6 linked regions of the Coturnix japonica genome follow. The protein of the gene in region 2 purifies or fractionates together with the protein of the main gene of each other region. This does not show direct contact. Links are inferred from orthologs where the notes say so. Each region holds a gene or a part of one and is shown on either strand. Other genes may lie near its edges.

Region 1 (5,394 bases), on a different chromosome or scaffold from region 2:
GACCAAGCTGTACTTGGAAATGACAGTTTTAGGCTACTGTATCCCTTCTATTCAAGCTTCAGACTGTAGGATGTTACTTGCAAAATAAGCTCATTGCTTCAGCACAGAATGGTTTGCAAACAGCCGCCCTTAGACTGAACACGGAAAATTCTTTGCAGATTGTTCCACCACTGAAAATACGGTTAAGGTGAAAAAAAAATACCCTCTGTGGCCAAATTAAACAGGAGGGAGAATCTGGATATTGGGATGGAATGTAATTACCCAGGTTGGAACTTGCCCAGGACACTCTTGCTTGGAGTAGCCAAAGCGATCTGGCTATTCAATGCTAAGAAATAGCCAAGAACACATATTTACAAGTAACATCCTCTCTCATCCCTAATACCACCCTCCTGTCAATGAAACTGGTATGCAACACAATGCAAGCCCTTCACTGCAGCCAGCACCCTCCTGAGACCTGCAATCAGCCAGCACATCACCTCCACCCGCCCTCCTTCAGCTGCAACAATTTGTGCCATCACAGCAGCATGGGCACTGACCTAAATACGAGACATTTGTAACAACAGGAAGCTCTGAAGTGCCTAAGTTGCCCTGTTACTGATACACTAATCAGAACTCACCCAAAACAGTCCTTGTTAACCAAAATGTTTAGTGCTTTCAGATCAATGCTTACATTCAACATTCAGAATCAGTCAGCCCTCAGAAAAACCTCCCTTCTCCCTAAACATAAGAGGCACAAGGCAGCCTAAAATGAGACTTAGACTCTGCTGCTAAGAGCTGTCTGACAATAACTAAAGTACAAACCAATTCTAAACACCTGGGAAATGCACTTGAGATTCCCACCACCCACTTCTGTTGTTTGCCACTAGATAGGATCAGAACAAGAATATAAAAGCTACAGCCCCAGCGCTGTGCCCAAACCAGACCTGCTATTCTCAGACCCAACACAGGAGCCTTAAGAGAGCAGAGGTGATGGGTTTTCAGGAAGGTCAGCCCTGGCCGCAAGGTGAGAGAGGACAGTGTCTAATCAGTGTTGTTCCCCTACCAACACTAACAGCGTTACATGCACCTCCCAGCACTGAAGGGGATTTGGGACTGTAGGGGCTTCTAATCAGCCACAAAATGACAAAGAACACTGTGAGAATAAAAGGGTACGTGGTCAGAATGGAGGAGAAAATACCCCAAAGAGCTTCATTGGAAAGGGTCAATGTGCATCACTTCCCCTGCGTAAAGCAGCACATCACTGAGCTTTCCAGGGAGCTCTTTCCCCTAAATAGACACGATCCTTAGGCAAATATTTCCCAGCACAAGAATGCTACAAGTATTCAAATACACGCTGGTGTTGAAGTTGCTTCAGTTCCTACTGCAGCTCTTGAAAAACCCACTTTGCCTTTTTCCTCTGCTAAAAAAAAAATCACAGAGCTCTGTGATCACCACTTAAAGTTCAAAACTGTTTAAATCCTTCACACACACAACCACAATCCAACGCATGGACAGGAAGAAAGCTGCACGCTAAGGTAGAGTTGTAAATATTTACAGATAGCAGCTTTCAGAGCTATCAGGGCACGTGGGCATTGCCCAGAAATCACTATAAGAAAGCACCGAGTAAAACAAAGATATCTTCAATTGACTTTTGTTTGTCCTCTGCCTCTCCAGGATGGGGGGCTGCTCAACCACCCCCAACAGTGGGACGGTAACACACAGTTAGGTGACACCTGGCTTAAACCCTTTGATTTGTCCCCTAACAGCACAGGGAGGGGGTTTAGCATCCTAAATAAACACCAAATAAACCAGCAAAACAGCAGTTCTTATCAGGCTCGCTAAGGGATTTTTATATATGAACATAAACAAGAGCTATATATTAATATATATATAAAAAAATCAGGATTCCTACAGTGTTTCTAAACGAAATGCACAGTTCCAGCTGCAAACTTTTAGAAGCAATGCTGCCTACCTTTCTCGAATTGCCTACACAGCCTGTGTTGTCTTCTATTGGTCGTCCCGTTTTTCCCCTAACGTGGGATTCTAATTTTAATTAAAAAAGCCCCACCCAAGAAGGTGAACTTCCATCAATTAAACGGGGAGGCGAAAAACTAGGAAGGATCTTAAAATGGATGCGGCAGATTCTTTTGAAAAAAGAGCAACATGTTGCAATCACCTTTCATTTTAGGGGAAGGGAGGGATTCCCTGAAAGGAACAGAGAAGCGTGGAGGAAGGGAGGGGGTGAGGGGGGGGCAGGCTGCGATAAAAACGGCCCTGGGCTTTATTTTAGCTAAAAACTTCGCTTTCCCCTCGGTTAATAGAGGAATGGGGACGGGGACCGCCACCCGCCAACCCCCCCTTACCGCGGAAGGCTGCGCGGCGGCAGCTCGGGGAGGAGGAGGAGGAGAGAAAGCCACAGAGAGGAGAAAAAGAAAATGGCGCAGAGACTAAGTCCCGACCGCCGACACGGCGACTTTCCAGCGAGGAATCGGGGCCTAAAGGAAACCCAAAAGGGACCGATGGGGACGGATCGGGGGCCTCCCATGCCCCCTCTAAAGCAAGAGGCGGTCGGGGGGGTTCGGGGAGGGTGGGAAGGGGGCGCGGGGGGCGGCTCGATGGGAACAATGGGGCCGGTGAGCGCGGAGCCGGGACTTAGTCTCTGGGACGCCATGTCTGCGCGGCGCGGGGCGCGTCGGGGCCCACTCACCGTTGGCTCGGAAATCCGCCTCGATCTGCGGGGAGAGGAGACAGGGAGAGGACGTGAGAAAAGCCGAACAGGGAGGGGGGGCCGCGTGTGTTTAGCGATGAATTCGGGGGGAGGGACGGCGGGTATGGATCCCCCCTTCTATTTAACACCCCCCCCCCCCCATGAAAATTAAATACCAAACGAGGAGACAGCGGCACGATGCGGAACGCGGCCCCGGGGATGGGGGGGTGGGAGCGGGGTGTTGAGGGCAACATACAGCCGGGAAGGGGGGTTAAAGGGGGGAAAGCAGAAAGAACCGGTAACACCAGCCCCCCCTCCTGAGGGATCTCAGCCCCCAGCCGAGCGGCACCGACCGGGACAGCGAGTCCCAGCGGGTCCGACGGGGATCACACACAGCCGGGTACGGGCCCCACACGGCCGGAGCGAAGGGGAAGCGCCTCCTCAGGGCCCCACCGCGATGGGAACCGAGGGCCATGAGCCGGACTCCCCCGGGACTCACCTGGGAGTCGTTGTGCAGCTGGTCCCCGCTCATACCGGAGGCTGCGGGAGATGCCGAGCGGAGCGAAGCGGGAGGAGAGCGAAGCGGAGAGGAGCAGAACTGAGCTGAAGCCGCCGGGGACGCGCGGAGCGGGGAAGCGACGCAGAGCGCAGCCCCTGGCTCCTCAGCGGTTGTGTAACAGACACTAAGTCCTGGTTTCGGCGCACTGCGCAAGCGCGAAGCCTTTTACCCGCGGGGCGGAGCCGGGCGCTGTGAGGGACGGCCGACGGGAAACGGCAGTTGGGTTATTTGCATAATAGGCCCCGCCCATCCGTTAGAATATTTGCATATTAGCCACGCCCCCACCCGTCCACTCCTCCGAAGGCAGCCGATTGGCTCGCTCCCGCCCGCGCGCTCGTAAAACACACGTAGCCCCGCCCCTTCCACCCTATCCTCCAATCGCGCAACACGACCTTGCTCTTTATTTGCATACTTAGCCCCGCCCCTCCGCTCCCCTCCCCGCCTCGCAACGAGCCCGGCGCATTGTGTAAGAAGCCGTCCCCTACTGTGAGCGGAGTGCGCATGCGCCTAACCACACCCGGCGGCAGGGTTAATTTGCATGTTAAGCACCGCCCCCATCCATTAGGCCACGCCCCCGGGCTGTCAGGGGAACATGGCGGCGCCCAGGCGGGGTGTCCTCATGGCACCACGGGAAGCTCCTGCTGTACATTGCGTGGCCTAGCAGGGCTTGTCCAGCCTGAACATGAGCTATGAGCTATGGAGCAGGGGCACAGCAAGTGCTGGGTTGTGTGGGGCTGGAATGCAGAGGCTGCAGTAACCCTGCAGAGATTACATTGTGCTCAGTGCTGTACACATGCCCTGCATCCACACACAGCTGGTGCTGAGGGGGGGATGCAGATCAGACGGATCTGGGCTGACATTACAGTCAAGGACAGCGATGCTGCATTGCAAATGAGAGCTTCCTGCTTTAAAGAGGAACATCAGCCAGCGTGATTCTTCTTCCAGCGTAAACGGGCCTTTTATTTTTCTCTCACAAGGAAACTGAGAGTAAATAGGAAACAAAAGCTGTATCTTCTCTCAGCTAACATGAGGATGAATCATGTACCTTCCTAAGAGAACAATCCCCTGCCTCGACCTCAATCTGAAGGCATTTGCTTCTGTTCTGCAGCAGCCCTGCTGAACCGAGATCCTTTTCGATGTACTAAATGGCAGGTTTAGTATGCGTGGCTGGTATGTGTCTCACAGGATTGCTTCCAGGCTTCTTGCAGCTGCCATCCTGTGCTGCAACACACACTGTACCTTTCCTCAGCTTCTTTACACATCCTGAGCTTTGATTTGACGCTAAAATAATCCAGCGCTGCCAGGCTATCTGAAGAGACGCATCAACATGTAAGCAGAGACAGCAGCCACCTATTTGCACTGCGTATTTATACCCTGTAAAGGGAAAGCTCTGTCACTTTCTTACAGTCTTCAGAAGAGGATCTGAGGACTTCCTTTTTCACCGAGAGCAGGCAAATATTTCTTGATTTAGACGTGTTTATTATGCAAACTGCTTAAGTCACTGTTAGGTTTTTAAATATAAACACAATGGAAAGGCTGTTTTTCAGACACCTCTCCTGTTGGAAGAGGTGTTTGCCCTTTGCTCACAGGAACAAGATGATGGCAGGCTTTGCTCTCAGAACAGCCAAAGGTTTGAGCCTATCCTCGCTGCCACACAGAGGTGTAGGGGCTGTATCTTGTGATGTGTGACAGCCTGAGCACAGCCTCACACATCTCACTTTAGGCATTAGAAATTCCTAATAGCCATAAGAAACAACAGTGTTGCATTAAAGCTTAAATATCTCCAGGGTTCCAAGAAACCTTGCTCAGGTGGCCTTGCATGAAAAAGAGCTGCTGCAACACCCACCGTGCTGCAGCGGGCTGTGATCAGAGGAAAGGATCACTCTGCCTTGTAGCAGCTGCCATCTTCAGGGGCTTTTGCAGGCACGCTTCTGGGTGCAAAAGGGAGCATCCAAACTGGCACAAGAGGCTCAGTACTGTGCTCTGCAGGACTCTGCTGACAGCCAGCCAGATGAACTCTGGACGCAAAAGAAGCTGCCCAGTTTCTAGTTCATGTCTCAGTAAAGGCTGTGGTCTCTGCTCTCCTGCAGGGTTGGCTGTTCCTGGAGTCTTTAGCAGGCATAACCATGAATCTTTGCTAGGCTACTTG
Region 2 (4,668 bases):
GAACAATGGGAAGGGTATCCCAGTTGTTGAACACAAAGTAGAAAAAGTGTATGTTCCTGCTTTAATCTTTGGGCAGCTGCTGACATCCAGCAACTACGATGATGATGAGAAGAAAGTCACAGGTAGGGAACACTGCAGAGCGTGCAGATGTACCTGGGCAGCCTGACTGTGTGATCTGGGAACTGAAGTACCTATATGAGTAACTGGTGTTAATTAAATGCAGCTTTATAGTGGCTGCAGGGTTTGTGGGACAGTTTATTGTTAGTCATACTTGGTGCTGAAATGAATGAGCTCTTGTTGGTCTGGAGTTCTCTCTGGTGGTTTTGAGCAAAGGTAACAACTCAGACATGTTTTCTTCCTGAATCCAGGTGGGCGAAATGGTTATGGAGCCAAACTGTGCAACATATTCAGCACCAAATTTACCGTGGAGACTGCGTGTCGTGAATACAAAAAGCTGTTCAAGCAGGTATGAACACTGCCCATTTCAGTGAGGTCACACCTGAGATTTGCAAATATGACTTGAGTTTTTCCTATGTGAATCTAGGTGTCATTGCTGTGACTAGAATTAACCTGGTACCTGTTAGATACTGTGCTGCTTTCTTGTGTTTGTTACACTCACAACTGACAACAACTCATCTCCTCAGACCTGGACAGACAACATGGGGAAGGCCGGTGAAATGACACTGAAGCATTTTGATGGGGAGGATTACACGTGTGTCACCTTCCAACCTGATCTGTCAAAGTTCAAAATGTCGATTCTTGACAAGGACATCGTGTCCCTGATGACAAGAAGAGCATATGATTTGGCTGGGTCATGCAAAGGAGTCAAAGTTATGTTGAATGGGAAGAAGTTGCCTGTAAGTGAGCATTTAAATGGGGGAACATCTGTGTTTCTTATGACATTTACCAGTGAAGTTTTGTTGAAGCAGTTTATGCCATTGCACATAATAAAATGAAAGCTTGCCAAGCAATTTTTCCTCCTGGCTTTGCAGGGGGATGTGCATTAAGTATTTATAGGAGCTGTTACAGATGAGTTGTCTGGTTTCATTTGTAGGTGAAAGGATTCCGCAGTTACGTGGACCTCTATCTGAAGGACAAAGTGGATGAGACTGGAAATGCACTTAAGGTTATTCATGAGGAAGTGAATTCCAGGTGGGAAGTGTGCTTGACTTTAAGTGAAAAAGGATTCCAGCAAGTTAGCTTTGTCAACAGCATTGCCACCACAAAGGTGATTCTTTTGCTCCCGTGCTCACATTCACTTCATATTCTTTGTTGTTGGCTCTGTGTTTTGGTTCAGTGGAGTCACCTCAGGTTCTTTGGTCCCGTTTTCCCCCAGGGTGGCAGGCACGTTGATTACGTAGCTGACCAGATTGTGACTAAACTCATTGATGTTGTGAAAAAGAAGAACAAAAATGGAGTTGGAGTGAAACCGTTTCAGGTGCGATGTCAGAATTCCCAACTAAAGAAGCCCCATATATTCCAGTTTAAGCCACCAAGCCATATTCCCTTTGTTTAGCTGCAGCAATCAGAGTGCTCTGGGTCAGTAAGGAAGCATTACAGCTCAGTAGCTGTTAGGTTTTCTTTAGTGGGAGGGCTGCTGATGTCTTGGCACCCCAAATCATGTAACTTTGTGAACACTCATTAGCTGTCCTAAATTCTGCCAAAAGACATCTAGGAAAGTTCAAAAACCACGCAGCAATAATTGAACTTGTTTTCCTCGCTGCATGATGCTGACAGGTGATTCTCAGGAAGAAAACACTGCTGTTCCAGGGAGTGGAGCCTGTGCAGTTTGTAATGCTCGTCTTGTTTGCCTGCAGGTGAAGAATCACATGTGGATTTTTGTGAATTGCTTGATTGAAAACCCAACCTTTGACTCTCAGACTAAAGAGAATATGACTCTGCAGGCCAAGAGCTTTGGCTCGACGTGCAAGCTGAGTGAGAAATTTATCAAGGGTGTAAGTATTGGTGTGTGTGGATAATCAGCACGTCTGTAAAGCTGCAACTAACATGGCAAATACATGGCTTACAAAGTCATGAATTAAAGGAAAACATAACTTAAAGCTTTTCCCACTGTTGATTTTGTTCTGTAATTTTGTTGGCATTGCAGGCAGTTGGCTGTGGCATTGTTGAAAGTATCCTAAACTGGGTAAAATTTAAAGCTCAGACCCAGCTGAATAAGAAATGTTCAGCTGTGAAGCACACCAAGATTAAGGGCGTTCCTAAACTGGATGATGCCAATGATGCTGGTAAGTATTTCACATCCTTTGTAGCCAGTTTCTTCAGAGATAACATTTGCTCACCAGGCAAATGAAACAATCATCTAAAGAAAACGCCAGCTTGTGCTCGTTTTGCATTGCAGTTTGTGCAGTGCAGCCAGACCTGTATATTTTATGGTGTCTCCTGCAGCCTGTGCTATATTAGCCTTGACTTCACTTCTTAATTGGAAGACTTGGGTTTTTGCTTTTTGTTTTTCAGGCAGCAAGAATTCAATAGATTGTACACTCATCCTGACCGAGGGAGACTCAGCCAAAACGCTGGCTGTCTCTGGTTTAGGAGTGGTTGGTAGAGACAAATATGGAGTATTTCCCCTTCGTGGGAAAATGCTCAACGTCAGGGAAGCTTCTCATAAACAGGTTAGTGGGGAGACCTTAATAGCCTGTGCTGGGAGCTGTGGTGTGCTTCATGTCATGCAGTGTGGGTACAGCTGAGGGCTTTTGATGCTGTAACTCAAAGGTGTGGGTCTGGTCTCACGTTCAGATTGCCTTTCTGATTAAGCAGGAATACTAAGCAAATCCCGGGCAGTGCTTTGCATTTGTGCTGTGGGCTAGGAAATGTTCTAGGAAATGTTTGAAATAGCCCTGAGAAATTTAAAGATTAGACACTGGGTTGGAATTAATGAGATGCTCTAAACAGAGGAAACTCTGGGAAGGCAGAGCACGGTTAGGGGTGTACAGCCGATGGGTGTCTTTGCTGTTTTGAGTCTGGTAGAAAAGTTTTTATTCCTTGTGATCTTTTCCAGATAATGGAAAATGCTGAAATCAACAACATCATCAAAATTGTGGGTTTACAGTATAAGAAGAATTACGAGGATCGAGAATCTTTAAAGACTCTTCGCTATGGGAAGATCATGATTATGACAGATCAGGTTAGGCTCACTGAAATTCAAAACTGGAGAAATTTGTTCACCACAAATGTGTCTCTTCCTTCTGTTAACTTTCAGTACTCAAAGCGTGGCTGCTTCTTTGGAACTGAAAGTTAATAGTTCTCAGTAGCTGGGTTTGTGTGTATCCTCATTATTGAACTAACAACTGGCACGGCCATCAGGGCTCTGGTTAAACTTGTACTTCTCTCCAAAATAAAACCACCAAACAGGATCAAGATGGATCTCATATCAAAGGTTTGCTGATTAACTTCATCCATCACAACTGGCCTTCTCTTCTAAGACACAACTTCTTGGAGGAATTTATTACCCCCATCATAAAGGTAAGGGCTGAGGAGGTTGGAAGGTGAGGGAATAGGATCATGTTGGACCACATCTGCTTTCACAATTAACATCTTCATTCTCTTTAGGTCTCTAAAAACAAAGAAGAAATTGCATTCTACAGCATTCCTGAGTTTGAAGAATGGAAAAACAGCACACAAAACTACAACACATGGAAAATCAAGTACTACAAAGGTTTGTAGGAAACCTGATATGGTGAAGGCAAGTTTGTTATTAAACTTAGTTAGTCCAGCTTCTGCAGAAAAAAGGGGGTTTGGAGCAGGTGGCCTCCAAAATTCACTTCCCTCCTAAACTGCTCTGAATGGCTGCATGCTGGTAAGGGAGCTGCCAGCTGCATAACAACAGCCGGGTGGTGAGGAATCCAGACTAAAAGTGCAACTGCCCAGTTGTCTTCAATCCCCACTACTTCTGTGATACCTTACATCCCAGCAAAGGTTTTAATAGAACCATCTTCATGCTGTGCATTTATGTGATGTATTACGGAAATTGGATATAGTAATGCCTTCCTTTGAAGTGCAACTTAATTGAAGCAAGAAATTAGGGCTGACTAGTTGTTGGTTCTGCAGGTTTGGGTACCAGCACATCGAAGGAGGCAAAGGAATACTTTGCAGATATGGCTAGACATCGAATTGGCTTCAAGTACTCTGGTCCAGAAGATGATGCTGCCATCACCCTGGTAACTTACACTTGACTTAATTGCTGATTTACTACCTTGAGTATTTTGCTGCGTATTTTCTCTTAAAATGCTCTCAGAGGCCTTTGGGCCTGAGATGGTCTCTTTGTTACCAAGGCTACAGCCTCAGTTCAACCAGTAGAAGCAAATCTGTCCACAGACCTCAGGCCAGGAGCACCCTTTCAATGATGGCTTTTAAATATAGCTCAGAACAAACTATAACCACTACAAACCAATTGACATTTTCAGACACAATAGTAAATATTCCTTCAGCATTATTCTGTGTGTTTACCTGCAGTTTCCTCTGAGCTAAACCTCTCCTTTCTCCTCTAAAATTTTTTCTCCTGAAATGGTTCACCAGTGTTCCAGTAGGGCACACAGAATGTCCCAGAACTTGAATTATTTCTTAATTTGCAACACAGGCCTTTAGTAAGAAGAAGGTAGAAGAACGAAAGGAATGGCTGACTAATTTCATGGAGGATAGAAGACAGCG
Region 3 (5,263 bases), on a different chromosome or scaffold from region 2:
TTTCGAGGCAAAGCAATAAAATTTCAACTGTCTATCATAAAAGATTTAGCAAACAAAAGCATCCAAGTGTAAGCACCATGCAGGCAATAAGCACCGTTATCAGACTCTGCATGTCACAGATCAGCAGCTTGTAGATAAGATGTCCAATCAGTTCTGTAATAAGTGGTTAGGTCAAGGAAACCAAGGCTGACAACAGCACCACACAAGGAGCATAGAGCCCGTATCTGTTTGCATCGCATACACAACACTTATGGCTGAAAACCCAGCAGCCCTCAAAGTCAGAGCTGCCAGCCTCAGCCTTTCCTCAACAGGCACATGAATAAGTGGACTGCAGCCTCCCAGGGATGGGGAATCAGCTCACTGTTACCAGCCTTAATGGCACCAGAGGACCACATCCTCCTACAAGCACTATTCTTTTGAGACTAAGATAACAAATCCACGACCCTTTCATCACAAATGTATATGAGGGCAAGTAACTGTTCCTCGAAATCACACGATTTGCCGCATTCCCCACATACCCTTCAGTCTTAGTAGCCGGTAGTTGCTTCTTCAGAGTTTCTTTATCTTCAGCTTTCAAGATGCTGAAGCCCAGGAGCTGGGTGGCCCCATATGCAGGGAGGAAGCCCAGCTCTGCCCGGCGGCTCACGAAGCAGTCCGGGTGGTACCAGTTATCAATCATCCCCAGCTGTGGTTTTTCAGGATGCACCATCTTCTTGGAAATCCGAATCTGGCCCTGGGGCAGGTTAAAAAGACACAACAGCAATTGTTAGGCTGTCCTGGGAGAAGCAGGATGTTAGTAAGCTCGTTATCAACATGATGCTTCCTGCACACCTGCTAAACGCCAATAGCCCCTCCACCAAAGCCTGAAACAACTGTCCAAGCCTTTTCCTTACAGCTCCAATGCTTTCACTAATACCTTGTCCTAGGCTGGAAAAAGTGCCTGTTAAGTAACTTTCTGTTGAAAAAGAACACTTAAAACAGATAATTCTGTAGTCTTAACTTCAACTCCCTGCCAGTTAACTTGAATAAGCAAAGATAAGCAGAGATCACATCACCAAGCCCCATGGAGGGGATTCTGAAAGCTGACTTTATGTCCTTATCAGTCAATCTTTACTACAATCTCATCCTCTGGAAATTACTTTTCAGATACCCAAGGAAGTACTTGGCTTAAGTGCTTCTAGACTGCAATGCTTCCTACACCCCAGCCACTAACACTTCTGGAAACACAAGTGTACCAGCGCCGTCACACATCCCTCACCAACTGCACAGAACTGGCAGCTCTATTCTCACCTATCAGAGGCTCACGGCTTCACTTTGCTGATTGTCTTTAAAAGTAGGGCAACAAGACAGGCTGAAATATGGGGCAGCATCATTAATTAGACGTACTGCTGTTTTTGTCTGATTTATACACTGCACAGAAACAAAGGAGAAGAAGCAGCTAACATCTCTGCAGTGCATGAACAAGCAGAAGGCAGTTAGTGGTGGCTCTCTCTTTTATTCCAACCAAATCTACTGGCAAGCAGCATTTCAGTCTGCCGTAATGCTCATGCAAAAGGAAGCATCAGCAGATCAGAAGTCCGGGCTCCAGTGCCTGAGGCACATGTCTTTATGTCAGTATTCCAAGACGCAGCCGTTCCTCAGGCACAGAAAATCAGCTCTGCAACTGCCCTCCAAGTGCAGGACATACAGGATGCAGTAGCAGAAGCTTCTGTTTGAACTGGGATCAGTGGGAAAACAGGTGAGATGGAGAACTAAAGAAAAGCTTTTTACCTTTTCTATTTTCTGCTCGCAGCCTTTGCAAGTGCTCCTGTTAGACTTGGCATACTCTGCAGCAAAGTCAGTTAGGCTCTTGTCCGCTTTGCCACCTCCTTCCTGGTCCCCTCCTTTTCCTGCAGATCAAAGGTAAATACAGAGCTTTAAAAGGCACCCTCCCTCCTTGTTTGTTTCTCCCCATCTGTTACAGATTATTAGCAATCTGGATTAATAAACCTCTGTGTTCTGCTTCAAAACAGAACCCCTCTCAAAATTTAAGTCCTCTTTCAAAGTGACAGCTTCCATTTCCTATTTTTTTAAATTTTAAAATTATTAATACACTTCCTCAGGCTGACATCAACCTGCTGCAGGGACATGGCCATCAAGTAACTGTAACAACAGCCTGAGATGACAGAGCACGGTTCCAGCTTTGAACACCAGCAGAGCTCTGCTTACCTCCTCCAGGGCCTCCGGTTTCAATGGCCTTCTTGATTTTCTCCTGGTCCTCCCAGCGGAGCTCAGGGAAGCCATCAATATCCGCGTGGGACACGATCCGTGCCCGTTTCCAGAAGCAGCTGTAGTGATGCCAGTGAGGGACTTTGCCATCAAACATGGGCGACTAGGAAAAGCACACGAGGCTGAGGTGCAGCAGCTAAGATCCAAGCGAGCGGGGTGGGGGGTATTTGGGTAAACACCGGCCTTGCCCCATAAGGGCCACCATCGTGTCAGAGTCCCCACGATGGCAGGGGAACATCCCAGCCTGCAGCAGGGCGGCACCACAGCCCAACCCTGCAGCTCCGCAGCACCTCGCCCGCTGAGAGCTGTGCTGGGCTGACTTGGAGCCGCCAGGTCACAGCCTGGCAGCGCTGCGGCACCCAGCAAAGGGCACGGCCCGGCGGTTTGGCACCAAACAACGGCGGCGTTACTAACACCGCGTGCTGCGGGCACAGGCCCGCCCTGCGGTAACACAGCCGGCCGCTCCGTGCGCCCCGGGCCATACATAGATGGGCCAGGAGGAGCTGCCGGCTGGGTTGGATGCGGCCCTGCCCACAGCCGCTCAGCATCGTTCGTGCGGCGGAACGCGGCGCCGCATCCCGCAGACAAAAGGCGGATGAAACGTGGCCACGTGCAGCTCAGCTCGGCTCCATCGGCTCCACCGGTCGCCCCGCGGTACCGCCGCCCCCCGCCGCCCCCGGTTCGGATCCGAGCGCTCCGCAGCACCGTGAGGCCGAGCCCCGACCCGCCGCTCTGCGCCCGGGGGCGGCAACCGCGAGGCCCCCGGCACTGCAGCCGAGCCCCGGTGCGGCCGTACCTGCACCATGAGGGCCAGGCGCAGCGAGTCCTTGGCGATGCTGTCCCCGCACTTCTTGCAGGCCGCCCGCCCGCTCTTGGCGTACTCGGCGCGGTACGGCTTGTCCCCCGGCTCCGCCATCGCCACCACCACCGACACCACAACGCGGCCCCGCCGAACCGAGCCGCGACGCGCGCCCACCGCAGGCAGCAATAGCCGAGCGCCGAGCGCACTGCCCGCCCCGCAGCTTGGTCGCCATCCACCGCTCGGGCAGCGACTCGGCATGTCTGGCGGCGCATGGAACCTTCCGGTGCGGTGCGGGGTATCAATGGGCCGGGGCCTTGTGCGCTCATGTCCGCTCGGTGTGATACCGCCTTACAGCAGCAGGGGGCGCCAGCAGCACAGCACGAGTGGGGGCACTGCGGGCCGTGTTACCCTGCCCATATGGATATTTATATGGATATCTATATGGATATCTATATGGATATCTATATGGATATTTATATGGATACTTATCCTGTCCATATGGATATGTTGCTTATTGCACGGTGCTGCACACAGTCACTATGGCTGTATGACCTTGCTTGCATTGAGGCAGCTGTATAGGTGCAACAAGTGGCTATGGCTCAGCTGTGCCTTCCCTCTTTGTGCCAGCGATCAACCCCTTGACATCAGCCAGACCGCCCCAATGGGAATGGGACGCAAAGCCATACAGCCCACATTAAAGGTTTGGTGGCCCTGCCAGGCAATGGAACTACATGATCCTTGAGGTCTCTTCCAACCCGGGTCATTCTGTGATTCTGTGAGTGTCACAGCATCTCATAGTATCACAGTATAAATGAAAGGGATTATCCTACTCTCTGGGACAGAATGTATCTCCTACCATGGCTCCTGTGGGGTTTTGGTGCCTAGAGCTGCCTGGCACTGAGATGTGGTTAGCGGGCATGGAGCTGACACACTGATGGTTGGATGTGATGTACTTAATGCTATTCTCTAACCTTAATAGCTCTATGATTCCTCCTCAGCAGTCCTGAGCAGTTTTACATTACAATCCAGCACAGAACTCCCTGGGAAGCAGCTCTGATGGTTTCCCCCCTTTTTTAGAAAGCTTCTTTAAATAAGCTTCTGTTTTTTTAGCATTCCAGATGCATGGGAAAATGGATGTGGGAAGAGGCGAGGAATGAGCGGTTGGTAGAGGAGAAGCAGGATTTCAAACCGACTGAGAACTCCACCAAGCAGCCTCATCTCAGTAATTACATGGCAACATAATAGGGGTGTGGCTTGTACATCTAGGGAAGATCATAGTCTAAAGTTGATACCATAGAGCCCAGCACAGCCATGGTACTTGCCGCAGTTATTATCAGAATGTTTGCACTGACATTACCCACAGGTGGAAATACTGTGCTATCATCCTTGCTTTACAGTCCCCATGTGGCAACTGAGACACAAATGACTATTTGATGAAATTAGAGAGTGAGAAATTAAACAAAGGGTAAGAGGAAATTTGTTCTTCTGGCAGGTTAATTAAACCATACCGCCAGAGGCAGGTGTTGGAGCAAAGCAATGCTGAAAAATTATTTAGAGTTCTCCTAATTGCAAACATTAAAAGGGACACAACACATTGGACTTTGAAGGTTAAACTCATACATAATAAATGATGATCATAAGGAGACATAATAGAGGGAAGACATTGTAAGTCTTACTGTGGGGCCTTCCTTTGAGATGCTCAGCATGCTGATGGAGATGGATGAGTGCTGGCCAAGTGGGCACCTGTGGCCCTTTCTTGATTTCTGCTGCCTGCTGACATGAGCAGGAAAACCACCTCCAAGCAAAAAGCAGAACGTAGGCCTCCAAATCTGGGTCAGCTGTATCCATTTGGTCGGCCTTGGGCAAAACTATGGAAGTCTCCATCCTGGTCTGCCTGCTTTTTTATGTGGATGCTGTCCAGAAGCTTGTGTTCTCACAAGTTCCCAAGCACCTTCTTTCACCAGGTGGTGATGGTTGCATGCCATAATACTAGCAGTCTTTTCCAATTTTAATGGTTCTATGACTTTATTCCACCACCTCTTTTTATCAGGCAAAGCCCGGGCTTGCATTTGTTCAGATGCTCTGCAGCTCTGCCCAGGTGTGCAGCAGGATTTGCTTTCTGGCTCTTGAGCACCCATTATGTGGCAAATCCCACAAATTCATTAAATGCAACTAATGAGCAGTGGTAGTGGA
Region 4 (4,668 bases), on a different chromosome or scaffold from region 2:
AAAGTATATCAGCCAATAAAGGCTGAAGAACTCCTGTGAAGGAACACTTACTGGATGTCCCACGCCAGCCAGACAGTGGAGAAGTGGCCCCATCCAAGCTTCCGAATCACATGGTAGCGCCCATTAAAGAGATCTCCAATTTTCACAAGGTGATAACCCCCTGGGAGAACAGTGGGAAGTTGGTATGACATGGGATCACACAAGTGCTGAAGGACAGGTATGTGGAACAAGCATCAAACTCGAGGTATACGTACTTCATGTGTTTAAAAATCTATAATCATATACAGAAATACAAATGTTTATATAATTGGGTTGTGTGTGAATGTAAGTGTGAATGTAAGAGGCAGAGCAGTGCTGAGCCCTAGAGTTGGACTGAAAAATATCTTAACATAATCAAACTAGGAGGACCAGACATAGAAATGTTTGGGCTACAAAGGACTGCTAAAGGCCATCTGATCCCACTCCCCACATCGAAGAGGGAGGCCCACAGCTCCATCAGCTGCTCAGAGCCCCTCCAGCCCTGACCCTGGGAATCTCCAGCAACAGGGCAAAACCACTGCTCTGGGCAGAGCAACCTGACCAACCTCTCATTTTTAGTGCAGCTCATCATGGCAGCAGCACAAAACACTTTCCTCAAAGAACGATTCTGAGTTTCACGAGGCTACCAACCTTCGAAAAATGCAGTTTATGAAAGTTCAAATTTAGCTCAAAATATCATTTTTTTCTAATGAAAAAGAACTGGATGTCTACTTCTACTGATTTGGAAAAGCCCTCTGACACAGATGAGAAGCCGACATACATTAAGAACCCAACCAAACCTTGACAACAAAAGCAATCTTGAAGAACAGTTTCTGTTTCAGGTTAGTTTGAGAAACATGATTCTATTCATCCAATTTCAAAAACTGCTTAATATAATCAAAGAGATGGTCTAATTTTAACTGTCCGCAACAGATGGGAAAACAAAGGAAATTCTTACATTAGAAATGCCACACCTTAAACAGGCAAGTTCATACCTTTACAGTAATCATTTGGGTCCTCTTGTTCGTCATCATCTGAGCCCAGAATTTCTTCTTCTTGCTCTGGAAGATCATTTTCAGAGTGAGCAGCAGGGCCACGGTGCTGAGGGTCGGCTCTGAAAGAGGACACGGCCTGTGTGTCACATGTTACACATAACTCGGTACCTCGCTTCTTATGTAAGAGGTGGTAAATAATGAAGAAGTCGTACTCCTTGGCCTCCAGAAAAAAAAACAGTTTTCATTTTTACATGCTTTTACTGCTGAAGGAGAAACAGTTTTTCATATGCTAGCAAGAAAGAATGACACCTTAAGGCTCCAGATTCACTTTTACAGTATAAGAAAAAAAAGGTCAGACAGACAAAAGCTCAGCACTTAGCAATCCTGCTGCCTCTACATAGCCCCAGCCTCCATCAGTGTGAATCAGCAGAAGTTTCCTGTACTGAGGCTATTTTTCCAGCAAAGTAGCAGGTATACACAACCCTATTTCAAATCCAACTCATTCTGTTCAAGGGAGGATTAAATTCTGAGACAGCTGCAGTTTACCCCAGCAGGTACTGGGGATGCACGTGGGCTTTGGGATGCAGGTTCTGCAGCTCCTGAGTTGGAGTCAGGTCATATCGGTTGTATCAACTAATGACAGAAATGAACACAACTTTTTAGCAGCTACACGTTCAGCATTTGCCTACTAAAAGCACCCTGCTGTGATTTCATACATCAAGTACCATCTGTTTCTATACATTAAAACAGCAGTTATCTTCAATACCTACAGAGCAGAAAGAAGGAAAAAAAGCCCCACGCTTTCCAATAGAACCATGAGTGAACATGTAACCATTTCTAGTAGGAACTGAAGTTTATTAAATCACAGAGGAGCCACAAGGCGGTCCCAGATAAAACCACACTGCCCCACAATGCACTGAGTACCCAAGACCTGCTAAGTGCGAGATTCAGGAAAGAAAGCAGGCAGTGGGTCAGAATTGGAGGTGCTGGACTGGACATCAAGAGATCACTGAGTCCAACCTGCCTGACGATACAGGCACCCTATGAGAGGTTCTGAGCCTTACACCAGGACTGCTGGCCGGACAGACCGACCACCATCCCACTGCTCTCAGGCTGAGTCATTTATCAGCTGCCCCATAGCTTGATCCAGCCACAGGATGTTTCATACCTGGATTGCTTTAGCAGTAAGCCATAGAGCTACAAGACAAAAAGAAAAGAAAAAAACATCTTGGAGGACAAAAATCTTCTTGAAAAGTGCTGCATTTCTCCAGGAACAAAAGAGCTGCAAACAGCCGCTGGCTGCCCCAGAATCACAGCAGGTAGCAAAGGCATGAAGGGGAGACTGGATGCCAACATGCACAGAATCCTACAAACAGGGAAAAGAGAACCAGAACAAGGAACTGGCCAGGAAGGGGGACTGAAGCCCAGCAGCCACACCCACAGCGTAAGTAATGCAGAGTAATTCTGCTGTTTGAGGACTTTCACTTTATGGCTGCAAGGTCTTGCAAACAGGAATGGGTTCAAAAGATTCAGAATCACTGATGCAGACGTAACACTGTGCTGCTCTGCAGTCCCAAAGCTTTTCAATGACAGGGATTTCATGCACCAGAGCAGAAGTTACTGGAAGCACTGCACCCATTTGCTCAGCTTTCTGCACTCATCCTGGAGGGACTGAGAATGGTAGACCACAGCTCAGCCTGTCCTGGGGATCCAGAACAAATTCCTATGAAGCATTTTTCTCATATATTACAACCCTTTACACCATAACGTGGTACAGAGCCCTGCTCACATGCATATCGACAGTGCTACCTCCTTTAAGGAATCCCCTCCAAAACATACCTCATTCCTTGCCTTGCGGCAAACATCCATCAGACATCACTACATCTTACCACCACCCGCCCCTCGCATGACCACATCAACTGCAGATATGGATTAAAGGAGCCTTCCTCAGTGTAGATATATATTAATGCCAAAGAAAAAAAAATCCACAAAATCACAGCCCTCACCTGCATGCACAGGTAGGGCTTTGCTAGACACAAAAGGCTGCTAAGGACAGCAGGAAAATCCATACCCTGGATTTAAAGATGACAGCTGAAACTGCTGTCAGCAGTATTACAAGATACAGATAAATACCTTAAAACCCTTTAGGGACAGAAAGATGGTTAATAGCATACCCTCCAAGAAAAAGAAAACCAAACATTTTAAGGCACTTTTTCTCCCTGAAAACACCTCCATCACCTTTTACTTTCATTCCCCCAGTGTATTAATTAATCACCAGAATTAACTATACAACTACAAAGTGGTATTTTGATGAAGATAGGAATGCTAAGGCAGAATGATAGCTTCTATGGAACTCAACCCATCTCCAGAGACCATCCCCTCCCCCCCCAAAAAGTCCTCATCCTCCCAGAAAAGCCCAAAGAACTGCAGTTCCTGAGACAGAAATAAATGAGGGTAACCCACCTGCAGGAAGCACGGCCTCCCATTGACACAGATATCCCTGAAGACAGCCCAGCAGTTTTCAAAAAAGCCATTAAAAATGGGATGGCACTGCTGAGGAAGGGGAGGACATGGATGGCCGAGGGGTTCCTCCCGAGCGCCGCCGAGCTTTGTGCAGGAGGGAGGAGAGGGATCAGCCTCCACCACCTAGCTGCAGATGCACAGCACTGCATTGCAGGTGAATGGCCTTGCAGCGAGACCAGGGGCTGCTCCCAGCTGATCTGCAAATTCAATCATGTCGGGGGTTGGCTGAGCTCAGAGAGACTCATCTCCTCCTCTTGATGTTTACCTGTCTCCATCTTCCCTCAAATGAAATTAGGAATTTAGGCAGATGCTTCATCTTCCTGCACCAGCCGGTTTTATTTGCCTATTTAATACCCCTGGATTCAAAGCAGGGACAGACAGCGAGGTGGGGTGGCTGCCGACAGCACAACCCTTTTGATACAGCATAGCAAGGGCGTTCAAAGTGAAAAAGGCATTTTCTGAAGTAATTCCAAATCTCGCTCCGCAGAGCTACAAGAAAAACATACCCTTTACTCTCGAAAGGTACAAAGAAGTGGGAGAGGAGACAAATCTTCACCAGATCTTCAAAAAACAAACAAAAAAAGCGCAGAAAATTGAGCATTCTTCATAGGAACCGCTTCACAGTTTTCCAACAACATAAGGGTATTAACAGACATTTCCTGTGCCTGATTATCCTGCTTGTTTGTGTGATACGGGAGAGTTCAGCAGTGTGACATTAGCAGCAAGGATGCAGAGCTCTGCTACAAGATGGTTCTTATGAGCGGCATTCTGAAGCCAGCTCTGTGCTTCTAAACCAAGACTCAGAAGAGCTCCATTCAGCCAGCAGCACACCGGGCAAGTTTGCACTCTACAAGCTCACACAACGACACAACGCACTGCAGGGACAGCAGTACTAATTTGGAAGAACTCAGAGTTTGGTCACTTGTTTCTCACAAAGTTTTCAAAGAGCTGAGAAAACACACCTTGCTTTCACTAGTCGGCCTCCCACAGAGCCTGGGCTACACTTAAAATATGAGGTCAAAAACCACAAAGCAGCCCTGATCGCATAATGTGTGCTCTTACAGATCTGCTCTGAGGCAGAGCCAACAACAACAGGGAGACAAGCAGGGGACCGCAACCATGGGGAGCAGTA
Region 5 (4,668 bases), on a different chromosome or scaffold from region 2:
TTCAGCAGAGGAAAGACTATGAGCCTTTCCTTCATCAAGTCAGGTGCCCCTCAATAGCCATCTTTCCAGCACCAGTGTATGTCAAAAACACATCAGGTGGAAGACACCAACAGCCCCCTGGACCCTTTAATTGGCTCAGCAGGTCTTTCACAACAGCCTATGAATTTTCCAGCACTCTCTATCATTCTCTTGGATGTTCCCATCCTTTCCTAACAGAAGCAGCCAAGCCTTTCAACACTGGGGTTGGTTGTTCAGACATGCCACATGCTTTCCTGCAGCAGAGAAGTAGGAGCACAGGACATTTCACAGCAGAGAAACACGCCGCTTCTTTTGGGACACTGCAAACACACACAGAAGCAGGAAGAACAGGGGCTGTGCAGCCAAGGCAAGGGGCAACAGAAGTAGGTTTTTCTGTTCCTTCCCAGCTACTCAGCCTTTAGAAGAGGACAGGATGGCAGAATCTGTGCTATCCCCTACAGGGAGTCATCTCTGCACTTGAACATATACTATTACTTTTGTTCTTTACTTACTAACCATATAAACAGCTTTCAGTTACCAGAATTAACCAACAAAATGGCAAACCAACAACTAGTAGTGAATCCCACATCTGTAGCTCTCAGCACGTACTGCTCTGTTCCTTACCACTATCAGAGGAATCTTCTTTCTTAGAGCGCATCTTCCTCTTTCGGCCACGTTTGCCCTTCTTTGTCTCTCCTCCATTCTCTCCTTCCCCACCATCTAAGCCAGAACAGTTATCAGCATGTCTGGCCATCGTGTTCTACTCCATGGAAGAAGAGAAAGCAAAAGAAAACAAAGCATGCATTGAAATCAAGATCAAGCACTGTAGCCCCATGTTTTTAAACATATTTTTAATAACTTAGTAGTTGTGGGGTTTTTTTGTGTGTGTGTGTGGGTTTTTTTTCTTAACTTTTATGAATGAAGTTGAACTTTCACACTGATTTTGATCCCAGTGCTAAACAATGACAGTATTCGTTCTGAAATACATCAGGCGTCCACTCAGAAAGAAGCAAGTGCTCTATTTAAAATGTCAGTACAGTCCCTGTACCTCAAGCACCCTTCCCTGTGGGGAAGCATGTCATCCTTCATGTTCCACCCCCTCCCTCCCCACCAGCTTTCATTCCACTCCAAAACAGAACAACCTTAATTCAGAACAGTGCATTCCCTTACCCTGCGAGTGAATGTTTTACCACACTTGGAACAGACAAAGGCAGCAGGGACAAAGTTGGGATCGTGGTATCGTTTGAAGTGCATATCAAGGAGCTGTTTCTGACGGAAGGTTTTATCACAATGGCTACAGGCATAAGGCTTTTCTCCAGTATGGGTCCGTTTATGCATGACCATGTGCCGCTCCTGAGGGACAAGAAAGACATAAAAAGTAACCTGAGAACTCATGCAGACACAGAAGAGCTCATTTTTGGCCAAGAAGAGCCCAAAACTTTGGGTTAAGAGCGCTATCAGAAAAAGATTCTTCAGGAATCAGGAATCTTAACTGACAGCACATTCAATCCTAGCTATTCCCATTCCAAACGGACTCCCACCAGCTCTTTATCAACAGATACATCAGCGTTGTGCCTTACCCCCTTTAGAAGGGGCTCCCTATAGGTGAGCACCACACCAAGAGACTGAACTTTCCTTCACCCCCTCCCTTCAGAAAGGGAGAGCCAATTTGATGTTGACAGCCAGACCAACTTCGCAGCTAAGATTCCTCCCCTCATGTTTTGTGAGCTGAAGCTCACAAGGGGTGCCAGCAGCACAACTTACCTGTCTGCATGCATAATCACACTGGTCACACTTGAAGCGCTTCTCGTTCTTGTGAGACTTTTGATGCTGTATGAGGGCATAGCGCTCATGAAATACAGCATCACAGTAGCGACACTTCTTGCCCTGTTCAATGTAGGAATGCTGCTTTCGCAAATGAACACCTAGGAGCAAAAAGAATCAGAAGCTTTCATCACCATGGATTTCCAAGCACAGAAAGGTTTAGCCTGCAGTCCCTTAGCACTAATCCCCCTTCCACATACTCTTGGGTTCAAGTCAGGAGAGTGAACCATTAATTCAGAATTGTACTAAAGAATTAAAACTCACAAATAAAAGCAGCCAGAACAATTTATAGACAGAAAGGTCATGTTTAGTCACAAGATTCTAGACTTAGTAGTTGGTAGCAACCTGTTGGTACAGCATGCTTCCAAGAGATAAAGGGTTTGATGTTGTATCACATCATTTAACAAATAATATGCAAAAAGGCAGCTCCTTAAATGGATATTTCAAACAGTGTATGCTAGCCTCAGAACAGAGCAGACAACAGGGATACAACATAGGGGTGGTCAGCAGGGATAGGGAGGTGATCGTCCCTCTCTACTCTGCTCATGTGAGGCCCCATCTGGAGTACTGTGTCCAGGTGTGGAGCCCTCAGTACAAAAAAGAACAAAGATGATCAGGGCGGCTGGAGCACCTCCCCTATGAGGACAGGCTGAGGGAGTTGGGTTTGTTCAGCCTGGAGAAGAGAAGGTTGCGGGGTGACCTCATTGCAGCCTTTCAGTACCTGAAGGGAACTTATCCCAGGAGGGGAGTAAACTTTCGAAAGGGCTGATATAGCAGGACTAGGGAAATGGTTTTAAGTTGAAGGAGGGAAGATTTAGGTTGATGTTAGGGGAAAGTTTCTTTACTAGAAGGGTGGTTAGTCCTGGAACAGGGCTGCCCAGTGAGGTTGTGGATGCCCCGTCCTTGGAAGGTGTTCAAGACCAGGTTGGACGGGGCCTGGGCAACCTGATCTAGTAAAGGCGTATGTTGGGGTGGCCCTACTAGGCAGGGGTTGAACTACATGATCCTGAGGTCCCTTCAACCCGGGTCATTCTGTCATTCTGACTCTGTGACACCAGGTCTGCTTCTGTCAGCATACATCCACAAGGACTCTCTTGGAGGACAGTACAATGTGATTTTTTGCTAGCAATGCTTATGCAACACACAAAGATTATAGAATTAAAACAGTTCATAAGCCACTTAAGAATCCTCTACTGTGAATTGCCCGAATTCAGCCAGAAGCCAGGTAATAACATTCAGAAACAGGATTTTCTGCAGGATTAGAAGTCGGAGTGACAGGGCTGGAAGGCAATCGGGATACCAGCAGATAATCCCCAACAGAGGTTTTAGTGGTTTCTTCAAAACACTCAAACTGAGAGCATAGCACAAAGCAGCCTGTTGTAGACTAAAAGGTTATCAGAAGAAGAATTCTTCATAGCTAACATCAAAGTTTTTCCCCTCTGTTGTAATCGGTCCGAGCTGCTCTGGTAGACACCCTGACATCAGTTGGCTGCCCCCTCATTGTAGCACTCCACATTCATTTTTAATTGGAAGACAGCCTGCCTTTCCATTACGTGGTTGTATATTTTGCTTACAGACTGAAAGTTCTGCCAAATGGTGCTTCTTCCTTCTCAGCTGCTCTGGGCTGACATTATTTTTCACCTTCTTGTACATCAGAGAGCTTGCCTGCTGGAATCACTGGGTACTGCTCACTAGATAAAACACTTTCTTTACTGCAAGGACTCAGGTTTTTGTGGCAATTCTGTCTCTCCTATTTCTGTCTGTAGCACACAGCTCCACTTCCTGGAAAATGAAAGTATTTGTTCACATTCAAGCCCGTTAGCTGGGTGAAGATGCATGTGGATAAACATAACAGCCTCCCAATACACAGGAGGTCAAGTCAATTGACCTTTAGTTTCTCAGACCTAATCCACATGCTAGCCTGAGTAAATGCCTTGTGTCTAAGAGGTGTTTTCAGTTCCCACCTATGGGCCTGAAAATAGTAACTTGCCTTGTATGCTTGGAACACATCCTACACTTTCAAATAATTAAAAGAAACAGAACAATCTCAGTCTGCAGCAATTATGGGAAGCTAAGCACATATTACAAGCCCCACGTCTAAGCCTGTGCTTCATTTTCTAGTTACCAGAACAGTTAGGTTAAAAAGCAGACAGCAGTTGGTCAAATGAACTCTATTCAGGGAAAAGGCTTCCATGGCACTCCCAATAAATGAGCACATTTCTGAGCTACGTACCAAGTCGCTCTTTCTCGCTATAACAGTATCACAGTGAGGACAGTGAAATTTGGCCACGTTCTCTGTGTGCTTCTGCAGAATGTGCATCTTCATGGTACCACTTTGAGTGAAGCGAGCATGGCAGATGTAACATTCATATGGCTTCTCTCCTACAGAAGCAGAAGGAAAAGAAATAGCACAAGTACTTTCAGTGAAAGAAAATCTAACCAAGAAGCCCCGAGCTCTCAGTAACTTGCAACAGACAGAAGGTAGAAATAGTAACTCAGTCTCTTTCTCTAGAACTTTTTGTTCTTGTGTGCATCTTCTACAAGAAACTCAAGTCTACTCTTCAAGCACAGCAGTTAAATTAATATCCTTACTGGGAGGAACTGCAGGGAGGACCTACTGCAGGCTGCCAGAAGACAGCAAGCAGAGGCAGATTTTCTGGGGGGCTTCTGAACACTCAATTTACAGGTGAGGTTTTCCCCCCGGTTCAATTTTAGCCATATAATCAACCCAGCATTTCAGCAAACACTCTGTGCTAAACACAGCTGCTATTTCCATCAAAGAAAAAATTGAGGGTCTTTATGCCCTACACGCATGAGATGCTTTTG
Region 6 (4,668 bases), on a different chromosome or scaffold from region 2:
AAGAAGTCTCTTGACTTAAGAGCTCAAACAATTAAGTAACATGAACATGAGTTTCTGAGAGACACAGCTGAGCTGAAGTCCTCAACAGTCCTGCCCATATGCTTGATACCACTGGAAAGCAAACAAACCTTGTTTATATTTCCTCATATTCAGCTGCGTTTCTGCAACAGGACAACAGGTTAGACCAGCCCACTATACAAAGGCACAACTTTCCACCTCAGCCCTCTGATACTGGTCTTGCTACATACAAGAAGACTTGCAAATGCCTGCTGATGCTTCTGACCCATGCAGTGAAGCACGTATTCTGAGGTGGCTGCATCTTCTAAACTTTTCATAGATTCTTGGCCATGACACCAACTCACTGCCCTGACTACACAGTCCTGTTATCAAAACTGAGTTCTCCAACGTCCTGTTTTAATACAGGAACAGAGAAAACAGGCAATTTTTACTGCCTGGGTTCCACCCCATTGACACTGACAGCACAAGGGACCTGGGAATGGCTCAAGACAATTCTGTTCACTGTGGGTTTGCACAGGAACATGACGCATAAGATTCCAGCAACTTCTTGCTTATAATTGCTGGGATCTTTTGGTAACAAGCACACATACAACATTAGTGACATGCACAATGACCATGCAGTCAGTAAGTTCAAGCCTGGGGCCTCTCAACAGTCCCCAACACCATAATATTTATGTTAGATATTAACACAGTGGAGCACATGAAAAGAACACCTGAAGGAAAATTATAAATAGGAAAATTCAGTTCTTTTATGAAACCTTCAAGATGTTTTAAAATATTAGGAAGTATTTAAACACATCTCAGCCTCAGCATCCTTTGGATGAAAATAAGGTTGTTCAAAACTCTGATTATTCTATATAAAAACAGCGTAATCACTTAAGCATGGCATTAATTAGAGTATTAAAGGCCTTCATGGGTATTTTTCCTCCAAACAGGGGTGTGAGCCACGAGCCAGTGAAGACAAATAACAAGTGACTGGAGGTCAGCGCTTGGATGCAGGACAATCAGAGTTAAAACAGGCAGAGATTTTGGGAAATAGCAATGGCTTGAGCAGGGTCACAGCTGTCTCAGAGCACAAACCAAGCAAAGCAGATTTCAGTAGAAATCAATAAGTAAGCACATCACAGAGCTCTAAACAGCTCCTCTTCAGACAAAAAGGAGGTTTCAGACAGAAATAACTCTTTGTTTCAGATTTTGTTAGACAGAACAAAAATGGGAAGTTAAGTTTGGTTTCAAAATTCGTACCAAGCAAATCAATCTTCTGAGCTGCATTTCACTGCAACACAATACAAGAAGCACCAAGCAACAACTTGTTTTCATCAGCACAAGAGCTCAGTTATTTTATTGACACCTAGATTTCATTTGATGTTGACTTTCTACCTTTTGTGGTATCTGAAATGCTGTTTAGCAAGGCACACATCATGTCTCCTTCGATGTGATGGGGATTTAGAATGCGAACTGACCGCTGAGTCATCTTAAATTGAGCTTCCAGCTCCAGGAAGCTTTTGTCTCCAGAAAGTACAGTGAAAGGAATTTGCTTGGGCAGACGCTCATCCAGCCGACCAGCCTGCAAGGAAACAAACAACAGATGTTAAGACTGCACTTTTATCTAGTGGGCATTAGTTAGCTTTGTGTAATAACTTTTTGTAGGAAAATCTACAGCAACTTACTTCCACTTTTATTATATATGGAATTTATACTACCATGAAAGTTATTTTTTACTCAAAGGATGGTGAGGCACTAGAACAAGCTGTCTGATAAAACTTTAAACACTGCACTGGGGAGTCCTCACGATACCCCAGCTTCCTGCCCCTCATCTACACATCTCCCAACCCAAAGCCCTAGGTCTACTCAACATGGGCACTGCTCTTTGTCAGCTCAGCAGGGTCTCTGAAGCTGGCACCCACCCATGGCCATCTAGCTCCAGATTCAGGGTTTTTACTTCATTCTGAAACAGAAACTGTAACATCTGTTTTTTAAGCTCTTTTTTCTTCTTTCTTTTTTTTTTTTAATTCTTCACTTCCTAACCAGCTCCCACCTTTTCACAACAGACTGATGTCTTATATGTCTTACTTGGAATTACATCTGTATTCCTAAAGAAAGAAAATGTAGAGCATAGGGCAGGGTGATGTTGACAGCTATATTTACTATATTTACCGATGTAATTTATGTTGTGTGGTCTTCATGCAATCCATAATTCAATTCATAATTCCAATTCATATGGCAAGAGTAAAATGTATGACATTCAGGGTTACCCAAAGGTGTGAGGGGGTTCCTTCAGAATCGCTTCTCAACACACTGTCTCCACTCAGTTCAGCAATGGTTCTATAATCCTTTTTAGTGGACACAGAAGTTGTGTGAATCTCACAGCTAATAAGTACTTAATGTCAATGGCATACAACACCTGCCACCCTTCTCTCACACTAAAACAACAATAAAGACGGCACACACTAACTTACATGAACACAGAGTGCAAAGTCTGCTGCTTCTCTTCTGGTCCCACAACGCGGATGAAGGAAGAAACATCCGATCTTGTTGAGATAATTATAAATTTTGCACTGCACTGGAGGTTTCCAGTTACTGTATCCTCCTAAGCAATCAATCAAACAAAGAAACAAACAAAAAAGGATAGCAGTGTCACCATATATTAAGAATGCAAGGCAAAAGTAAAAGGTAAAACTGGCTTTAAAGACAAAATTTATTTTGTCAAATGTGACAGCTGGAAAAACTGCATTACCAAAAGCCCCAAAGCCCCTGTTGGGTTAGAAAGCCAAAAACGAAAAAGGAGTTAGCCTGATTCACTAGTGGAGGTGGACTACAAAATGAGTGACAGAAAACTGAATGTCTGAGAACAGAAACAACGTAGAACCTGGTCAATACAATGGGGGGAACTGAAAGGAAAGCTAGGATTGCATTAAAAAAAAAAACAAAAAACCACAAAAACACGAATAACAGACATAACTCAAGACGTATCGTTAAAAAACAACAGTCAGTTGTGCTGTTTGGAAAGCGCAGAAAAACATGAGACTGGGATATCATTGTATTTAAACGAACAGGAATTGTGTGCATTCGATAACTCCACAAACTACTGTTCTGGTCCCCATGAACCTTAGTACTCCTAAGCTTTGCAAAAATCCTTGTGACACTAATGAAAGACTAACATGTTCCTCAATACAAATTGAGACCAATTTAATGGCTAATCACTTTTAATTCTCTCAAGGAATCTCTGCTCAAACATGTATGTAAACTCACTCCTATGTTCTTCCTTTGATCACTTTACCTTGAAATCCCCAGATGAATGTTCCTTGGTTCAGGTTAGCTGGCAGCTGTGTGAAAAAGCTTCCCCAGTTGTCCAGATCCACCAACACAATGTGAGTCATGGTACTCAAGTAGTCGAGATCTGGAAGTTCACTATCTTCAATGAGATAAATAGGAACACTTTAAGTTTATTCAACTTTCCGGTCAACAAACATAAATCAATTCAGACACGTTTCTGAAACAATTAATGTATTAACCCACTATGTAAGCTAAAAGTCATAAAACATTATCCTATTTAGTGGCTGCATAGTTTCAGCACTGTTTTTAAATCAACTGAAGTATCATTTAGTAATAAATAGATTAGATAAAAGTAATAATTAAATTAGATAACTGACATAACTGACAGTAGAATCTAGCAGTATGATGACGTAAAACTGGATAGTTGACACAGAGAGCTACTTAACTGAGACACTGACATGTTCATTAGTATACTTAACATTTAGCTATGCTCTTCCTACTGTGGCAAATTTACAATAATATATTGCTTAAAACCATAATAGCTCATAAAATGTTTAGAAACATACTTTTTGCTGTATATTAATCAAAAGCATTATGACACTGTGGGAAATTAAAAATACTCCCAATTTTTGTACACCAAAGATACACCTTTGGCATTCCTGACGTCACTCTCAGAAGTGACACAAATTAAAAAAAATTTAAGCATGGACACTTCAGGCAAAGCCACTCACAGAATCACAGGAGTTGGAAGGGACCTCTAGAGATCATGGAGTCCAACCCCCCTGCCAAAGCAGGTTCCCTACACCACGTCGCACAGGTAGGCGTCCAGGCGGGTCTTGAATATCTCCAGAGAAGGAGACTCCACCACCTCCCTGGGCAGCCTGTTCCAGTGCTCCGTCACCCTCACCATAAAGAAGTTCTTGCGCACATTCATGCGGAACTTCCTATGCTCCAGTTTCTGCCCATTTGCCCTTGTCCTGTCTCCACACACTGCTGAAAAGAGTCTGGCCTCCCAAGTCTGCCCCCCACACCTCAGATATTTATAGACCTGGATCAGGTCCTCTCTCAGTCTTCTTTTCTCATGGCTAAACAGACCCAGTTCACTTAGCCTTTCTTCATAGGGGAGATGCTCCAGGCACTTCACCATCTTAGTGGCCCTCCGCTGGATTCTTTCCAAGAGATCCCTGTCTATTTTGTACTGGGAAGCCCAGAACTGGACACAATATTCCAGACAAGGCCTTAACAGGGCAGAGTAGAGGGGGAGGATCACCTCCCTTGACCTGCTGGCCACACTCTTTTTAATGCACCCCAGAATGCCATTGGCTTTTTTGGCTACAAGGGCACACTGCTGGCTCATGGTGAACTCATACTGTG

Evidence for each region.
Region 1: the proteins of TOP2A (region 2) and TOP1 purify together in Homo sapiens (co-immunoprecipitation; 4 studies listed by BioGRID and IntAct, with this or other methods). This does not show direct contact. The link is inferred for Coturnix japonica from reciprocal best matches to the Homo sapiens genes TOP2A and TOP1.
Region 3: the proteins of TOP2A (region 2) and PARP1 purify together in Homo sapiens (co-immunoprecipitation; 3 studies listed by BioGRID and IntAct, with this or other methods). This does not show direct contact. The link is inferred for Coturnix japonica from reciprocal best matches to the Homo sapiens genes TOP2A and PARP1.
Region 4: the proteins of TOP2A (region 2) and SRPK1 fractionate together in Homo sapiens (co-fractionation; 3 studies listed by BioGRID and IntAct, with this or other methods). This does not show direct contact. The link is inferred for Coturnix japonica from reciprocal best matches to the Homo sapiens genes TOP2A and SRPK1.
Region 5: the proteins of TOP2A (region 2) and CTCF purify together in Homo sapiens (affinity purification with mass spectrometry; 3 studies listed by BioGRID and IntAct, with this or other methods). This does not show direct contact. The link is inferred for Coturnix japonica from reciprocal best matches to the Homo sapiens genes TOP2A and CTCF.
Region 6: the proteins of TOP2A (region 2) and E3 SUMO-protein ligase ZNF451-like purify together in Homo sapiens (affinity purification with mass spectrometry; 3 studies listed by BioGRID and IntAct, with this or other methods). This does not show direct contact. The link is inferred for Coturnix japonica from reciprocal best matches to the Homo sapiens genes TOP2A and ZNF451.

What each region holds. Positions count from the first base shown.
Region 1 is NC_029535.1:4,132,844-4,138,237, reverse strand, and holds the start of TOP1 (DNA topoisomerase 1), read right to left. Parts: upstream 3,408-5,394; 5' UTR 3,219-3,407; coding exon 3,186-3,218; intron 2,712-3,185; coding exon 2,687-2,711; intron 1-2,686. UniProt on the Homo sapiens protein: Releases the supercoiling and torsional tension of DNA introduced during the DNA replication and transcription by transiently cleaving and rejoining one strand of the DNA duplex.
Region 2 is NC_029542.1:4,100,300-4,104,967, reverse strand, and holds part of TOP2A (DNA topoisomerase 2-alpha), read left to right. Parts: coding exon 1-122; intron 123-368; coding exon 369-466; intron 467-644; coding exon 645-857; intron 858-1,054; coding exon 1,055-1,228; intron 1,229-1,336; coding exon 1,337-1,438; intron 1,439-1,817; coding exon 1,818-1,955; intron 1,956-2,107; coding exon 2,108-2,246; intron 2,247-2,475; coding exon 2,476-2,633; intron 2,634-3,019; coding exon 3,020-3,145; intron 3,146-3,372; coding exon 3,373-3,483; intron 3,484-3,570; coding exon 3,571-3,676; intron 3,677-4,068; coding exon 4,069-4,178; intron 4,179-4,597; coding exon 4,598-4,668. UniProt on the Homo sapiens protein: Key decatenating enzyme that alters DNA topology by binding to two double-stranded DNA molecules, generating a double-stranded break in one of the strands, passing the intact strand through the broken strand, and religating the broken strand.
Region 3 is NC_029518.1:14,814,250-14,819,512, reverse strand, and holds the start of PARP1 (poly [ADP-ribose] polymerase 1), read right to left. Parts: upstream 3,268-5,263; 5' UTR 3,185-3,267; coding exon 3,065-3,184; intron 2,372-3,064; coding exon 2,209-2,371; intron 1,890-2,208; coding exon 1,771-1,889; intron 734-1,770; coding exon 519-733; intron 1-518. UniProt on the Homo sapiens protein: Poly-ADP-ribosyltransferase that mediates poly-ADP-ribosylation of proteins and plays a key role in DNA repair.
Region 4 is NC_029541.1:488,995-493,662, forward strand, and holds part of SRPK1 (SRSF protein kinase 1), read right to left. Parts: intron 1,133-4,668; coding exon 1,014-1,132; intron 161-1,013; coding exon 52-160; intron 1-51. UniProt on the Homo sapiens protein: Serine/arginine-rich protein-specific kinase which specifically phosphorylates its substrates at serine residues located in regions rich in arginine/serine dipeptides, known as RS domains and is involved in the phosphorylation of SR splicing factors and the regulation of splicing.
Region 5 is NC_029526.1:1,444,181-1,448,848, forward strand, and holds part of CTCF (transcriptional repressor CTCF), read right to left. Parts: intron 4,225-4,668; coding exon 4,076-4,224; intron 1,945-4,075; coding exon 1,783-1,944; intron 1,372-1,782; coding exon 1,189-1,371; intron 779-1,188; coding exon 643-778; intron 1-642.
Region 6 is NC_029518.1:79,212,817-79,217,484, forward strand, and holds part of E3 SUMO-protein ligase ZNF451-like, read right to left. Parts: intron 3,434-4,668; coding exon 3,299-3,433; intron 2,609-3,298; coding exon 2,478-2,608; intron 1,586-2,477; coding exon 1,399-1,585; intron 1-1,398. UniProt on the Homo sapiens protein: E3 SUMO-protein ligase; has a preference for SUMO2 and SUMO3 and facilitates UBE2I/UBC9-mediated sumoylation of target proteins. Plays a role in protein SUMO2 modification in response to stress caused by DNA damage and by proteasome inhibitors (in vitro).